Coturnix japonica: one gene and its partner. Each later gene encodes a partner of the first gene's protein in a complex. Links are inferred from orthologs where the notes say so. Each region holds a gene or a part of one and is shown on either strand. Other genes may lie near its edges. The genes, in order: TNKS and USP25.

The links.
Region 2: the proteins of TNKS (region 1) and USP25 are in contact, whole or in part, in a crystal structure (PDB 5GP7), measured with the Homo sapiens proteins. The link is inferred for Coturnix japonica from reciprocal best matches to the Homo sapiens genes TNKS and USP25. Residues at the interface, in NP_003738.2 of Homo sapiens: Arg836, Ser838, His842, Leu843, Gly846, Tyr847, Leu871, Asn876, Ser879, Tyr880, His882, Asp900, Trp902, Phe904, Glu909, Gln912, Lys913, Gln934, Glu935; in NP_037528.3 of Homo sapiens: Ser1046, Ser1048, Arg1049, Thr1050, Pro1051, Ala1052, Asp1053, Gly1054, Arg1055.

Annotation. Positions count from the first base shown.
Region 1 is NC_029519.1:44,128,753-44,133,050, reverse strand, and holds the start of TNKS (poly [ADP-ribose] polymerase tankyrase-1), read left to right. Parts: upstream 1-1,378; 5' UTR 1,379-1,415; coding exon 1,416-1,908; intron 1,909-4,298.
Region 2 is NC_029516.1:88,685,075-88,689,629, forward strand, and holds the start of USP25 (ubiquitin carboxyl-terminal hydrolase 25), read left to right. Parts: upstream 1-1,566; 5' UTR 1,567-1,616; coding exon 1,617-1,715; intron 1,716-4,555. UniProt on the Homo sapiens protein: Deubiquitinating enzyme that hydrolyzes ubiquitin moieties conjugated to substrates and thus, functions in various biological processes including inflammation and immune response.

The DNA of each region.
Region 1 (4,298 bases):
GACACCGCCAGCCGCGCCGCCCCGCGCACGTAGCCGCCGCCGCCCCGCCGGGGGCGGGACACGGGCACGGCCCGCCTGTAGGGCTGCCCCCGCCGGGAGCGGCGCCGAGCAGGGCCGAGTGTGCCACCTCCTGCCTTGTGATGAGCGTCAGCCCCGCGGCGAGCAGGGGGTGGATGTTCCGCCCAGCAGCTGGGGTGAACCTGCCCCGCCGTTAACGTGCCGTGCGGGGCCGGCAGCGCCGCGGTTACTCAGAGCAACTCCGCCACCTTCCTGCCGGGCTTTGTTCCTTCCCTCCGCCGCCCGCATCTGGCCGGATCCTCAGCACCGCATTAAATCACCGCGTTCACCCGTTGCTACATCTGCGCATCGCAAAGCTGCGGGTTCGGTGGCCATCTTTCTTTCCCATCGGTGATGAGCTGGAGCAAAGCCCTTTCCTCAGGTGCTCTGAGCCCGAGCAAACCTTCCCCGTGTTTCAGTTCAACACCGCATGAAGTCATCCCTGAGAAGGGAAATTTGGTGGTGTTGGCTGGCAAAGCCAAACACACGATACAAAAGGTGGGGAGGAAGCGTGGATGCGGGCAGGTAACTCAGCACCAGGCTGGGTTCAGGAGCTGCCCAAAGCATCAGAGACAATCCTGGGGTGCCTTTTGTCTCTGCGTTGTCCCTGTCAGAGCTGTTTTCCAGGCCTGTGCTTGTTTTCAGAGCATCCTTCAATCCCGACAGCGTATTTTTATCTGGGCTAACTCAGATTTTGTCTCTGTGTTGTTTTTTTTTAAGACCACTGAGGAAGCAGCCCCCTGAGCACACCAGGAGCTGCTTCCCACATCAGAAATAGCACATTCAGTTCCTCCTGAAAAGAGAACAATCCATCACATTGCCCAGCTGTTCTTGTGATACCATGCCCACGAGACTTTGTTTCCTGCTATCAAAGTAGCACGTTTCAATCAAGATGATGCTTCTAGGAAGTGAGATCTCTGCATGGAAAATCATTGCTGGCATCAAATTTGCATCATTAGGCACCTGAGGACAGAGAAAGCAGCATCATTACTGGGGGCAGCCACCCACACGGGCACTACAGATCTGAACCCAGATCAGGCTCCTGTGACCTGCAGCAGGCGTCACCCAGAAGGATGCCGGGCTGCATCCTCTCGCTGTGGAAGTAGACGCTCCTCCTTCCGACGGGGCGGGGCCTCCCATAGGGGTTGGGCCGGCAGAGGATCCCGGCAGGGGGCAGCACGGAGCCGCTGCCCGGCGTAGGGCGGGGCGCGATAAGGACACTCCCCGTCCTCCTTCCCCGCCCCGCCGCGGGACGTCCGGCCGCCGCGCCCCGCCATTGGCCGCAGACGGGCGGAAGGTGCCGCCGTTGCCGCAGTGACGGGAGCGGAGAGGGAGGCGGGGGAGGGAGGAGGGTGAAGATGGCGGCGCCTCTGCGCCGCTCCCAGCACCACCACCATCATCACGGGCTCCCGCCGCCCCCCGGGCCGGCCTCGCCGCCCGCCGCCGCCTCTCCGCCGCGCAGCCCCAGCCTCACGCCGGCCGAGCTCGGCCCGGCCGCGCAGCGCCACAGCCTGGCCGGGCCCGAGGGCGAGGCTCCCCCCGACGCCGAGCGGCCTCCGGCCCCAGAGTGCTCGGAGGGCGCCGCGTCGGGCCCGCCGCAGGGCTCGGGCAGCAGCTCCGGCAGCTCTGCCTCTTCCTCCTCCTCCTCCTCCTCGTCCACGTCATCGTCGGTAGCGTCGAGCCCGGCAGCGGAGAGCCCCGAGGCGGCGGGCCCGAGCGGGGCCTTCCGCGAGCTGCTGGAGGCTTGTCGTAATGGAGACGTGACGCGCGTCAAGCGACTGGTGGACGCTGGCAACGTCAACGCCAAGGATATGGCTGGCCGCAAGTCCACGCCGCTCCACTTCGCCGCCGGTGAGTGCGGGGAGAGGGGCGGGGGCAGCTCCATATGGAGCTCGAGGGCCGGGGCTCGGAAGGTGCGGGGGGATGTGAGCTATCCGAGCTCCGTATTTCTCATGCCAAGGCAGCGCGTAGCTTCTGTATGTGACTGAAAGGCACTGACAGGTTTCTTTGTGTTCCTCACGTGGCCTTCAAACTTTACTTTGTTTGGTTTGGAAGTGAGAAGGGAATTCAGGATGGAGTTCTCAGGGAGTGAGGGATTTCTTTTCTGGTAGCTCTTAAAAGCTAAAGACACCCGTAACAAGCCTTGCAACTTGTAACTTCTTTTTTCTAGTTGGTGTTTCCACTCCTCACTCAAACCAGACTGAGTGCTCAGTGATGAAGTGGAACAATTGAACTTGGTTAGGTAGTCGCACACGTGCTCAGGAGATGCTGTGCATCAATGCAGGGAAGAGATTGCACATGAAAAATTATATTGTGAAACAAGCTGACAGTGAGATTCAACAGGTGACCTTAAGAAGTAACCAGTGCTCTGTCCTTGGAGGTGCTGAAGGCCAGGCTGCATGAAGCCCTGGGCAGCCTCCATCTGGTGGGGTAGAACCAGCCTACAACAGGGGTTGGGACTGGGTGGGCTTTAAGATCCCTTCCAACCCAAGCTGTTCTGTAATGATTCTATGATTGCCTCTTAGCAAGCACAACTGTCATAAGTGAGCGTAGTTTATAATGAGAACAAATGTTACAGGGACTAGCCTTCATGGGAGGGGGGCGCGGGGTGAATTAATTCTATGATAGAAATAAAATGGGAGATACTAGGTCTGTGGTTGGACGGAGCTTTCTGATATGTGCCATAGTGTTGATATCTTGTCTGATATCTTTAAGCAGTGCTCTATTATGCACAAATAAAGTAATTAACAGGACTGATGAGTGGTCAGTATTTATGTGGTGCACTTGTGCATGTGAAGTGCTTGATGTTTTCAAGACGAATCTTGAGACTGCACTGCTTATTTTGGATTCAGGCTTGTAATAACACCTTGGTATGTCCCTTTAAACTTCAGGATCTCAGGTTGTAACTTCAGGGCTAGTGTAGAGTGTGGTGCTAAAGTTGCAGTGGTGGTTTCTACTTTGATTAGAAAGAAAGCAGACAAAACTTTAGATAAGGCTTTGAAAGGTGATGGTATCCATGGGGTGTTACTGTAACAGTAATGAAAGATACTTCCTTACAACATGAGGAAAACAGTGAGTCAGGTTCTTATATCTGGCGGACATCTGTTGTCTCCGTCTCCGGATTTGGAGATCGTCCTTAGCTGTGGTACATGTTTCCCATCAAATAAATGAGTATATCTGATTCAAAAGGATTTGGCATGTAGAAAGCGTTAGGGAGGCTTCTTAGTATTGATATCTTGAAGTCTTTTGTTTTGGAAAAGTCTGCATGGATGTTGTTAAATGCAGAGTGTCTCGGGCAGTGCATATTTGCTCATGATGCAGCGTTGATTGGATTTCCCATGGCCTTATAAGCACAGGAGTCTGCTGTGTATATTAAGCTACGTTGTGAATAATAGCTGTTGTTTTAGGAGACGTATCTAAATAGAAATTACGTGGCATTTATAAGGGAATAGGAGTTAAACCGTGCTGTATCCGTCTTCCAAAGCTCTTGAAGCTAAACTCTTAAGGCAAAAATAGAATTTCACTTCTGTTTCTGTGGGTTGTGGCAGAAGAATTATTTTAGTAGCTGGTAAATCTTCATTTTTCCTGTTTGTTGCTGTTGTTGTTTGTGTCTTTTTAGAGCAGCTGGATTCTTCTTTGTTGTTGTTTATTATCTTTTCCTGGGAACTTAGCTAAGGGGAAGTCTTGTTTTCTCAGACTCCCTTTTTGGCAACAATTTGAGGCAGCTGAGTTGTTTTTACTGTTAGAGGACAGGGCTGCTTTAGTTCTAGTTTAATGCTGTTTCTCAAGGTTTCCTTAAACTTTCAGAGGGTTCTTTTTTCTGAATCACTCCTATCATCTTTCTCATGGCAGGAGGAAGGTAAAAGGGGGGGGTGGCTTTGGGAACATTTAGGGTTCTTAGCACATGCATAGACTTAGGAAAAAGTGAGAACTTCAATTTCTGTAGCCACTTACTTTAAAAGACTTACTGTCTTGAAATTGTGAGCCTCTTTCAAGAGGTGAGCTTAGAGATGAATGAAAAACAAATACTAAAGACTTGCAAATAATTGACTTAAAAATAGAAAAAAGAGGTGAAGTGGAAGTGTAAATGTATTTGTATGTTTCTTTTATTCATTTACTTTCCAATGCAAACTACCAAAAAAAAAAAACAAAAAAACCCAAAAACAACTTAAAAGAAGCAACTGTACTAAGCCATAACAAAGGTTTGTTTGGCTTAAGGCTCTATCTGTACTGTTGGCTAA
Region 2 (4,555 bases), on another chromosome or scaffold:
CTGCAAACTGCAGTGAGGAGAGTAGTGCATACAGATACCCAACCCGCCCCTCACCCCCTGCACTTCCTATGACTTACTTTCTCCCGGCTGCAAGGATGCTCCAAACCCAGCTTCTTGCCATTTTCTTGACTCCATAAACTGGTCTTAAATAAATTATTTACGTATTTATTTTTCCATAATGCCGTTCATCTGAGGTGCCATAATTTGCAGATCTCAACACACAGACACACACACATCGTCCTAAGCAGCTCCCATTTGTTCCCATTTACCCCTCGAACCGACTATGGCCACCTCGCAGCCATCCCGGTCAAGAGTTATGGGGGAGGCGTGGTGCATCCTCAGGCCCCGTGTCAGAACAGAAGTCGCTGCCCGGGTAGCCGCAGAGAGCAGGTGAGTGCCGCTGCCGCCAGGTCCCGCACGGAGCCCGTTCTCCCGCGGGCATTCGACGGGCTGCAGCAGCTCCCGCCTCCCTGAGCACCGGGCCGGGGAAAGAGCAAACTCCGGGCGGAGACACCGCCGAGCCCGGCCGGGCAACGAGGCCGCTCGGGCCGGGCCGTCCCGCGGGGCCGTGTGCGGGCTCCGCCACCAAGATGGAGCCAGGCGCTGCCAGCAGTGCGTCCCGCTAGGCAACCGCAGGGCAGCCAGCCCGAGCAGGGCAGCGGGGCTCCGCTGAGGCAGGTGCGCGGGGCGGCGCTGCCGCTGGGAACCGCGGCGGAAGAGCTGAGGGCGGGGCCGGCGGCGTAGGCCGCGCTCCGGGCACGCTGGGCGGTGGCGGCCGCGCTGGGAGTGACGGCGGAGCCTGTGCCGATCGGCGCTGCCCCATGGCGGCCGCCCGGCTCGGCGGCCCGCCCGCCTGGCGGTAACTCGGGCTCCCCCTCCCGCCCCTCCTCCTCCTCCGCCTCCGTCGCCGCCGCCTCCTCCTCCTCCCGCTCCGCTCGCCCAGCCCGGGCCCGGCCCAGCCGCCACCGCCGCCCGCCCGCCGAGCCCGGGGCGCAGCCGGGAGCCGCGCGGGGCCATGACGGTGGAGCAGAACGTGTTGCAGCCCGGCGGCGCCGCCAAGGTGAGAGCGTTGTCCGGCCCCGAGCGCGCCGCGAGCCCCTGCCCCCGGCCGAGCCCGGGCCTAAGCGGGGCCGCTCCGCTCCCTGCAGGGCCACGGCCAACCGCGCCGCCGCCTTCCCCACCCGGGGAAGCGTGGTCCCGCCTGCAGCCGGGCCTGCGTCCGGCCCGCGCCGTGGGTCTGTCCGCAGCGCCGGCTGCGGGGTGAGCCCTGAGCCGACCGACCGCTGCCCCGGGGTGGGTGTGCGGGCCTGTTGCGCTCGTGGCTGCGGGAGGAGGGAGAAAAGCGCGGTGCCGAGGTTGCGGGAGGGCCTGGCCGCCGCTCCGTGCGGGTGGAGGATGCTCGTGTGCTTGGCATGCCGAGGCCGAGCAGTGTGTGCGAAAGGTGACAGCTATTTTGGGGCTGTGACACATACATGGCCGTGACGCTCTCTTACTGAAGTAGAAAAGCGGTGTGTTTAGGGGCTGTGTTAATGCACGTTATGAAATAGGGCTGAGCGAGTGGCGGTGTTATACATCTTTTAATGTAGATCGGGAGTTGCTGAAAAAGCTCTTCAGAAATGGATACCCTCTGTAGTTCTTTGCTTGCAGCAAATGGGACTGGCAAGGGGAAGAGGATCCCGGAATCTAAGCACGGGGCTCTCTATTCCCCCCTGAAGGTAACTGTTGCTTGCTCGTGTGCCCGCCCTGCTTACAGGACAGACCTGCCTCCTCTCCCCTGCTGTGTTTCTTTTTTTTCCAAGGCATGTCCTGGTTTTGTGGGATCATGGAGGTAGATCTGCATGGGCATAGTCAGGATGGAAGTTTAATGGCAATGGTTACACTTCATAAGCAGTGATGAAGATGTAATTGGTCCAGGTGGTGCAACTTGCATTCACAAAGCTCTCCTGGAGGGCGAGGCAGGTATCTCTTGGCTGCTGTCAGCTAGGAGCATGTATTTTGGCAGCTTCTGTAGGAAGAAGAGGGCTGAATGGACATTTTTGTCCCTTCTTTCCTTTGTTGATGTGGATTTCAGTTGAGGAGGGCTAGCAGACTGCATGCCAGGCTTCTGCTGATCGGGCTTCTGCTGTGCTTTCTGTATTTGAATATTTCTTCATTGGTGGTATTTATCTGACAGCTTTTCTGAGAAGCTGGTCTTCCACAAAACGTATAGTTGATGCTTTACTTAAATATCCCTTAATTACTGTATTGGACATTCTGTTACATAATCCTCGCTGCACCCTTCTAGGACTCCATAGTCTATCAGCTGCGCTACAGGGAAAACGTTATGGATGAACTATTGCTTACAGGTCAGGAGTTCAGGAGGATCACAGTTTCAGGGATTTCTTTACTGTGAGGGGGACAGAGCACTGGAAGTGGCTGCCCAGAGAGGAGGCAGAGTTTCCCTCTCCGGAGATATTCAGAACCCGCCTGGACATTTCCCTGTGCAACCTACTCTGGGGAACTGCTTTAGCAGTGGCTTGGACAAAGGTGGGTCTCCAGAGGTCCCTTCCAATCCACCTTTACAGTTGTGTGTAATAAGCTTAAAAAGTGGCTGGGGGTTGAATCGTACGGGTCATCGGGCGCTGTATACACAGAATTAAAGTCAGAAAGAATTCTGAGGCTGACATTTCTCTATGAAAGTAAATTACTACAGTATCTTCAGAAGCTGTATAAAACTACAAACTTTATTTCATAGTACAGTTGTTTTTTTTTTTTTATTTCTGTTGAACCATGTGATTATTTTACTGGGATTCCTTATTACCTGCTTCATCCTTAGTTGCATTCTGGGGGAGGCAGAGACAAACTTAAGAATATCTTGGAAAAAATCGTGTTAGACTCCAATCATTATTTAGTGAGGCAATCAAGCAGCTAACTGGGTGAAAGACTTTGACACTGTACTGTTTATTCTCCTTTAAAAAGAAAATTTATGGAAGTACAGTGGCTTGAGGCATGGTTGGAGGGATTACCACTAGCTCATCATCATCCCTCAGAAGAAGGTCCCATGCTCTGTAAATAGAGTTTGTTCTGCAGACCTCAAAGTTTGTTGTGATTGTTTTCTGTTAGTACAAGGAGACCACATCTAAACAGAATTATATTGGATTTCCAAGAGATGGCTGAGTCACCGGCATACCTTATTCACAACTCTGGTTCCCAACATTGTTCATCAGATGTTTTCTTACTGTCGTACAGGAAGTATGTGTCAAACTTAAGCGGTACTGGGAGATGCACATTTTTATTAATAAATTCCCCAAGTACAAACAGCCCACTTCCCACTGAAGCTGTCTTTAGTTTGTTGTACAGTCAAAGAATTTGGATCAGTTCAAAGGAAATTCTTACATGTTGAGTGATCATCTTGACTCCTTATTGAAAGCGGTAATTTATCTTCTGGAGCAAATAATCAGTCTTTTTACTCTTGTCACTCTCAGCTCCTGTGTGATCCTGTGGTGTGGTGGGGTGTTTGTAGGCTGTCTGTTTTTACCACATGAAGCCCAGAGAATTTGAATGTGGCTGCAGAGTCTCTTGTGCTGTGGAGGCCCTTCTCTGGTCCCTGTTCCTGAGGCAGTGGGTACAAGAGCAGGGGTGGGGCAAAAGGTAATTTTCTAGTAATTGGGGGGAAAAAAAATGATGTGGAGAAGTCAGACATGCTTCAGCAGTGTGTCAGCCTAACCGTAATTACTGTGATGGTCATCTTGTGACAACAGATTGGAGAAACTGGATTTCAGAGGGCGATAGCTGGCGTCTCAGCTATGTGTGTCATCGAGTTCTACTGCTTTTGGGGAAGGGCTGAGTGTTAGTGTGTACATGGACTTAAAGCATACTTCATCAATCCTCTCCTTTCCCTGAAACAAAAGGATATTTGTTTCCACTCCCCTGTTATTTCAGACCTGTGATTCAGCACTATATTGGTAGTCTAATCACAGGAATAAAGTTAGAGATATCAGCTCTTAAATTAATTAATTAATTTAATTTTTTTTTAAATTTTGGAGAAGCACATGTCTTTGAGGATATTTAGCACTAGAAACAATGCATGGCATTAAGCAAGGTCTAATACAATTCACTTCTTTTCCTCTTTTTCAGGATATTGAGAAACCTCTGTTAGCTAGTGTACGTATTTCTGCTGTGCTTGACCTATTTGATGTCCTTATTGGAAGAGTGTAGTGCTGTAGTAGTGACAGCTTTTCTTTGCTGAAAACAATAGTTGCTAACTTTTTAATGTTGTGCAGTTGTCTGTACATAAGGTGATGCAGTCATGTGTCTCCAGCAACAGAAACAGTGATGTTTCTTCGGTTCTGAATGTCAGGAGGTGATCTCAGAGAATATCCCCTCGGCATGTGGTACATGCAGAAAGTATGTGAGAGTTGTACTGTTTTTCACCTTGATAGATGGTGACCTTCCCAGCAACCATACAGCCTTCATAATCTCAGTGTTACAATCCGCTGAGCTCTGGGCTGCCTCACCTGCCATTTGCCCCGTGGACCCACGTTTCCTCATGTGACCAGAGCCTCTCTTGCAGGTG